2 linked regions of the Cricetulus griseus genome follow. The protein of the gene in region 1 purifies or fractionates together with the protein of each later gene. This does not show direct contact. Links are inferred from orthologs where the notes say so. Each region holds a gene or a part of one and is shown in the gene's direction. Other genes may lie near its edges. The genes, in order: Vcam1 and Msn.

Evidence for each region.
Region 2: the proteins of Vcam1 (region 1) and Msn purify together in Homo sapiens (affinity purification with western blotting; 3 studies listed by BioGRID, with this or other methods). This does not show direct contact. The link is inferred for Cricetulus griseus from reciprocal best matches to the Homo sapiens genes VCAM1 and MSN.

The regions. Positions count from the first base shown.
Region 1 is NW_023276806.1:42,101,590-42,105,413, forward strand, and holds part of Vcam1 (vascular cell adhesion protein 1), read left to right. Parts: intron 1-1,456; coding exon 1,457-1,777; intron 1,778-2,728; coding exon 2,729-2,995; intron 2,996-3,824. UniProt on the Homo sapiens protein: Cell adhesion glycoprotein predominantly expressed on the surface of endothelial cells that plays an important role in immune surveillance and inflammation.
Region 2 is NC_048604.1:74,002,159-74,005,982, reverse strand, and holds part of Msn (moesin), read left to right. Parts: intron 1-1,514; coding exon 1,515-1,678; intron 1,679-3,824. UniProt on the Homo sapiens protein: Ezrin-radixin-moesin (ERM) family protein that connects the actin cytoskeleton to the plasma membrane and thereby regulates the structure and function of specific domains of the cell cortex.

The DNA.
Region 1 (3,824 bases):
TGAGAGAAAAGTTACTCAGATTCTAAATAATACAGTTAGGGCAGTTCTTTTTCTTATTGATGGTTAGAGTTAGCATATAAACAAGTGTGTTCATAATGGCATCATCATATGTCTGTGTCATGATGTTTTCTTCTCTTTTGTTTCCCTTCCCCATTGCTCTCCATGCCTGTCTCTTTGAAAACTGCTTCCCTTCCTTCCCCTGACAATATCGCCTTCTCCTTTCCTATTGGTATGTTCTACTTCCCCATCCCTTAGGATGGCTTCCTTTCCTCTTTTTAGTTCTATGACCTACAAGGACATACATATCAATGCATGCATGTATATAATTTAAAAATTCAACTTGGGTTTCACATATCTGAGAGAACGTATAGTATTAAGTCAGTTCTTTTCCCTCCTCTCCTCCTCCTCCTCCTCCTCCTCCTCCTCCTCCTCCTCCTCCTCCTCTTCTTCTTCTTCTTCTTCTTCTTCTTCTTTTTCAGATAGGTTTTCTCTGTGTAACTTTGGGTGTCCTCGAACTCACTCTGTAGATCAGACTGGCCTGGAACTTAGAGATCAGTAGACACCTGCCTCTGTCTCCCAAGTGCTGGCATTAAAGGTGTGAGCCTCCATGCCCAGATATCAGTTTTATTTTTGATTTCAAGAATTACCTGATTGGAGACAAAGATAGGCAGCTCCCTGTGAGTTTGAGGCCAGCCTAATCTACATAGAGACTCCCAGGTACTGTCTCAAAAACAAACAAACAAAAAAATAAAGGAAAGAAAGAAGAAAGGAAGAAAGAAAGAAAGAAAGAAAGAAAGAAAGAAAGAAAGGAAAAAATTCTGAACAGTATTTAAAACTCATAACCTAAATTTAGTCGTAAAATAAACTATCTAAATTTTGATAATAATGTCTAAATTGAGAACTGCACTGTGAATCTCATTTGATACTGAAAAATTGTGTAGCCAAGATTCACAGGTCAAGGGACAGATTTTGACTAGGTATGATATATTATGAAAAATCGTTTTTGTTCCTGTAAGTTTCTTTTTCTAGCTATAAAGTAAGTTACATAATAACCATTTTATCAGATTGTCCAGAAAGGAGATAATGAAAGATGGGGGATTAGTTTATATTTAGTAGTCAGCATATTGTGACAAATATTTAAAACATTTAAATTATATGGCTAATTAAAAGGATGGCAGAAGTCATTGTGCCCTTAGAAAAGAACAGGCAAGATGGCATCATTAGAAGAGAAAAATCAGGAGTGAAAACATTACTCATTGACTTAAAATACTATTTTGTTTATATTATTTATAATTAATATTGTAAATGTGTCATTATAGTTGATGGTATTATTTATGTCCATACTATTCCCAGCTGATCAAAAGCTGTCACTCTGAGAACTTGGCATTTAATAGAGTCTGACTCAATTTTCCCTTGATTATCACATATCACCATTATTTTTACTTGATATCTGCAGCATTCCCCAAAGACCCAGAAATTGAAATGAGCGGTCTACTTGTGCATGGGAGACCTGTCATTGTAAACTGCACAGTCCCTGACGTGTACCCTTTTAACCATCTGGAGATTGAATTGTTGAAGGGGGAGACTACATTGATGAATAAAAGTTTTGGGGAGGAAATGAGCATAAAATCCCTGGAGACTAAAAGTTTGGAAATGACCTTCATTCCTACCACCGAAGATACTGGAAAAGATCTTGTTTGCCGGGCTAAGTTACACAGTGGTGAATTGGAATCTGAACCCAAACAAAGGCAGAGTACACAGACTCTTTATGTCAACGGTAAGTACATATGTGGGGCAGCTACCAATGAATATGGATTTCTTTATTAAGTCCACTAGGTAATAGCTAACAGAAGGTTAACAATTAAAACCTCTATGAAGAAAACTGAAAAGGAAATTCAGGATAACAGTAATTATAATAAACTATTTTCTATAATATAAAACAAACCATTTATTTATGCAGGGGTCTATGCATTAGCATTCAGGAATGGGCCAGCCAGGCAGCTAGCTACTCAGCCTCAGATAGAATCAGTAGAGCTCAGGCAGCCACCTTCAGCTAGGCTGGCAGCTGGCTTGCCACAGGTAGCTTCACTTAAGTGTCTGAGCCTTATGTGCTCGGTCATTTCTCAGCGTGGCATCATCTCTAGGAAGGGGGTCTAGATTTACTCTTCAGAACACAGCTAAGAAAGGTGGTGATAAAAGCCTACGTCAGAAGCCCTGCCTCCACCCCACACCGCCATGTCACTTAACCCACATCATATTGGCCAAATCACCAACCCAGGTTCAAGGTGTAGTAAATAGGTTTTTCTTATTCACAGGGAATCTTCCAATGCATCATGCTTTGACAATACACACCATTGACCTTTCAGTTTCCAATGCTCTCTACTCCTTTCTCCCTAAGAAACAGCGTCACTTTTATCTTACTCTGGCTCTTCTCACAGGGTCACACAGAGCCTTCTCATCCACCATGTCCCACAGAGACTACACTGTACCTGATTTTCTATGCTTTGACATGGAAAGCATTTCTCCAGACTTTTCTGCCATTGGAAAATATCCACCCTTCATCTGAGTTCTAACTCTCATTGTGTCTCCTCCACAGAAACTTCCTGGGCTGGTTGTCACAGTTTGTAAACTACACTAACCCATTCCAATGCCTAGTGTTACAGCATTGTCCAGACTCCATGGAATTCAGGACATAAAAGGCTTCAGCTAAGTGTCTTTTCCTTTTCAGATGCCCCCAGGGAAATCACCATCTGGGTCAGCCCCTCTCCCATCGTAGAAGAGGGCAGTCCTGTGAACCTGACCTGCTCAAGCGATGGTTTTCCAACTCTAAAAATCCTGTGGAGCAGACAGCTAAGTAATGAGGAACTGCAGCCTCTTTCCGAAGATACAACGCTCACCTTAATGTCTGCAAAACCAGAAGATTCTGGCATTTATGTGTGTGAAGGGATTAGCCAGATGGGAACTAGCAAAAAATCAGTTGAACTGGTTATCCAAGGTGAGCAGAGTATGACTTTTAAGTTATTCATGGCTAGTGCGTTTCCTATTGAGTTACTGATAGTGAACAAGGTTATCTTTGAAAAGAAGGCCTTTCGGGGTTGAGAGATAGCTTAGCAACAAGGAGTGCCCACTGCTCTTACAAATGACCCAGGTTCTGTTCCCAGCACTCACTGCCTGTACCCTCAGTGCCAGGAGATCGCATGCCCTCTCCTTGCTTCCATGGACACTGCACTCACACGCAGGTACATACAAATATGTATAACTTAAAATAAATCTTAGAAAGAAAAGAAAAACCATTACTTTAAAATTATATTTATGTGCAACAAACAAACAAAAGCAGCAGATAACAACAACAACAAAATACGTTAAAAAACAGGTCCACAATGCTCCTGGAATGAATTCTCATTTAAGGCCAGATCACTTGTCTTAAAATCTTATTACCTCAAATGAAATGCTCACTCCAAAAACTGAGCTGGAAGTTCAGGAACACTGAAGAGATTGTGGTTTTAGTGAAAAGACAAGGGTAGGAAATTACTTCTGATTAAAACAATAACATTGGGCAAGTCCCAAGAAGCTGCCTAGGATTTGTTTAGAAGTCCAAGAGGGCTCCTTTTGTAAACTCTGAGATTAAGGATCACAGTCATTGTGCCCTCTGGCCTCCTAGGCTGCTGGCACAGAACCACTAGGGTGAATATAAATATAGGTCTCCCTTCTCAATGATAAAGACCCAAAATTGACACAAAACAGGTTCTGTTTGGTACATCGAAGCCTTAGGCTTCCATGAGCATAATTATAAAATAACCAACTTGCATTGCTCCTCATGCGTT
Region 2 (3,824 bases), on another chromosome or scaffold:
GTATTTCTCAATAAAATAAAAATCCAGCTGTAAACAAAAGCTTTTAAAAACAAATAACAGTCAAGATAATTGATGCTTAAGAAATTTAGATATTTGTGTACTTAGTTAGCTTTCTTGTAACTAGAACACACTTTTTAGAGATTACAGAAATTCTGACACCTATGGTGTACCTACCTATTGACTAGAGTGTTTTCTATCCTATAGGAGGCCCTTTTGGATTCATTTGAGAACTCTAGTTAGACTTCAGGTAGTGAGACATGACATTGTCTACTCCCTTAAGAGTTAATCCAGGCCAGGCGTTGGTGGCACACGCCTTTAATCCCAGCACTCAGGAAGCAGAGGCAGGCGGATCTCTGTGAGTTTGAGGCCAGCCTAGTCTCCAGAGCAAGTGCCAGGATAGGCTCCTAAGCTACACAGAGAAACCCTGTCTCGAAAAAAAAAAAAAAAGAGTTAATCCAGTTGGGCTAGTCAATCACTAGGCCAAGGAAGTACCTCTCCTTGAAAAGTCATTCAACCTTAAGCTAAGGTAAAGAAGTAGGAATAATTATCTCTTTAATGAGACAGTGTGGTTTTCCTTCCCCGAGTTACTACCCCATAGTTTAGTCCCTGTTAGTTACCATGAGGTTCTTTTGGATGTGCTTATCTTACTAGCTCCTGATGCAAAGGGACATAACTCTTCCCTTCTCTTCTGTGGTTGTGTTTCAAATGCTGACCAGAACCTGCATATGCTTTCTCTGGTGCCTTGGACTTTTTCACACTTTGTGTAAAGATCTCCTTGCAATATGGCTACTTTACCACCATGTGGCTGACTTCCATATTGGCTTAACTCAAGGCCCTCTTAAGCTCCTGTGAATTAATAATAAACTTATTTTGAAAACTGAAAAAAAAATACCATAGCAGAAGAAGACACTTCTGATAAAGTATTTTAGGGTGCTATTTTATTTTTAAAGATTTTCAATTTCCCATGTTTATTTTGTGTGGAGGAGGTGAAAGGATACACACTCCATGATGCCCATGTGGAGACCAGAGGACAACTTGTTAGAATTTGTTTTCTTTCTCAATGTTGTTTTTGGGTATCAAACTCTTATTGTCAGGCTTGGTGGCAGGCACCTTTAGTTTGTGAGCCATCTTGCTGGTCCCAGGCTGCTTTTCATGATCAGAGTTGGTAAAAATGGTGATTTTGGTGGAAAGAGTACTTGATGTCAAAGATAAGAAACATGGGTTCTAGCCTTAAGTCTACTACTTCCCTGACAACTGACTCTAGGAAAAATGATTTTCTTACTCTGGTAATTAGGATTCCCACTGCAATGCAAATGATTGGATTACACAGTCTTTCCAGTACTTTTGGGTTTAGCTTAACAGAAGCCAGTCACTTTCACCTTTTTCTCAAGACTTTAAAAAATGTATCAGTTTATTATTCTATTACTGGTGTGTATGTGCATGCATGTGTGTGCTCCAGGGCGTATGTGAGCCATTTTGTCAGCCCTAAAAACTCAATGCTATTTTCCCTCCAGGACTTTGTGTTCTATGCTCCCCGGCTTCGGATTAACAAGAGGATCTTGGCCTTGTGCATGGGGAATCATGAGCTGTACATGCGTCGGCGTAAGCCTGACACCATTGAGGTTCAGCAGATGAAGGCACAGGCTCGGGAGGAGAAGCACCAGAAGCAGATGGAGCGGTAGGTGCCATAGTGTTGAACTTAGTAGTCCTAACTCTACTGCTGTGGTAAGGAAGTTTCTAAAAGCTTCCTAGACGGCTTAGGGTGTGGTATCAGCCCAGAACCAGGACTTGTGAACTGTGGAGGGGAGGAAACTCCTTAAATTCAGTGTCAGCACAGACATTTTTGTTTCTTAGAAACAGGCACCAAAAGTCTGGGATTTCAGAGGCTTCTAGAGGGAGGAACCTCTTCCAGTACTCTCCTATCCCCACCGGCCCATAGTCTACCTGAGAAATCTATTCTATTTCCCCTTCCCAAGGAGATCCAAGTGTCCTCTCCTTGAGCCCTCCTTGTTACTTAGCTTCTCTGGGTTTGTGGATTGTAGAATGATTGTCTTTTACTTTATAGCTAGTGTCCACTTATAAATGAGTGCACATCATGTTTGTTTTTCTGGGTCTGAGTTACCTCACTCAGGATGGGTTTTTCTAGTTCCATCCATTTGCCTGCAAATTTCATGATGTCATTGTTTTTAACAACTGAGTAATACTCCATTGTGAAAATATACTGCTGCATTTTCTTTATCCATTCTTTGGTGAGGGACATTTAGGGTGTTTCTAGTTTCTGGCTATTATGAATAATGCTGCTATGAACATGGTTGTGCAAGAATCCTTGTGGTATGGTGGATTGTCCTTTGGGTATGTGCCCAAGATACCAAGATATATCTGGGTCTTGAGGAAGATTAATTCCCAATTTTCCGGGAAATCACTATGTTGATTTTCAAAATGTCTGCACCAGTTTTCACTCCCACAAAGGTGCTGTAAGTTCAAGGCCAGCCAGGAATAAATAGTAAGAACCTGTTTTAAATAATGAAAATGGAAATAAAAATGAGCATGTATTTTTTTTCACAATGAACCTGGTTCTAATACATATAGATATATATTCATGTGTCAACATTAATTATATACGTGTATGTATATACATATGTTTGTGTGTGTGGCTTGTGTGTGCGTGTGTGTGCGTGTGTGTGTGTGTGTGTGTGTGTGTGTGTGTGTGTGTGTGTATACATATACATGCATGAGTTTGTGGGTACTTGGGTGCATGCGCACCACCCACAACTAAGGTTGACTTTTCCCCCAATACTGGTGTTTGGACTCAAAGCCCTGTGAATGTCAGGCAAGTACTCTATCATTGACCTATGATGACAGCCCAGAGTTCTCATTATTAAGAAGAAGAAAAAATACCAAGATTTGGATACAGTTTACTGAACTAGAACATACTCTGCAGGACCTCACAGTCTAGTAACACAGAGAATGAAGGAAATACATACATGTATGTGCTCACACTGTCTTACTTACATAGTCTTGAGATACAAAAGCTATATTATTAATTCCCTTAAATATTTATTGAGCAGTAAAAATTTCCTCATCTTATGAAGCTGTCATTCTAGTAGGAGAAGTTTTTAAAGATAGGGTTTCTCTGTGTAACAGCACCGACTGTCCTGGAACTCACTCTGTAGACCAGGCCGGCCTCGAATTCACAGAGATCCACCTGCCTCTGCCTGTGGAGTGCTGGGATTAAAGGTGTGCACCACCACCATCCATCATTCTAATAGAAGACAGATAAAATAAACAAATTGTTTAGCATATGCAATAGTGAAAAGTGCTATGAAAAAGTGTGTGCCAAGCATTCTGAAGGTCTGAGCGTGAGGACATGTAGCCAAGGTCTAAGAATGCTTCTTACGGGTTGGAGAGATGTTGGCTCAGCATTTAAGAATGCTTGCTGCTATTGCAGAAAACCCAGGTTCGGTTCCCAGCATCCACTTGGCAGCTTCCAACCATTTGTAACTCCACTTCCAGGGGATCTGGCACCTTCTAGATTCTGTGGGCACAGCATACATATTGTGCACTTATATATACAGGAAAAACACACATAAAATAAAAATAAAGTCTTTAAAACAAAAAATGATGCTTCCTTGAATAGGTAGTGAGGGCAGAAAAAGCAAATACTTATCCTAGATCGGCAACAAAGTCTGGAAAAAGGGAACCTAAAGCTGGGGTTGAAGGAAAGCAGAGTTAGGCCTAGTTGTCCAAGACAGAGTGCAAAGGTTAGTAAATAATTTTGCAGATAGAAGAAAGAGCAAAGCCATCTAGTTGGTTACTTGCAGTAC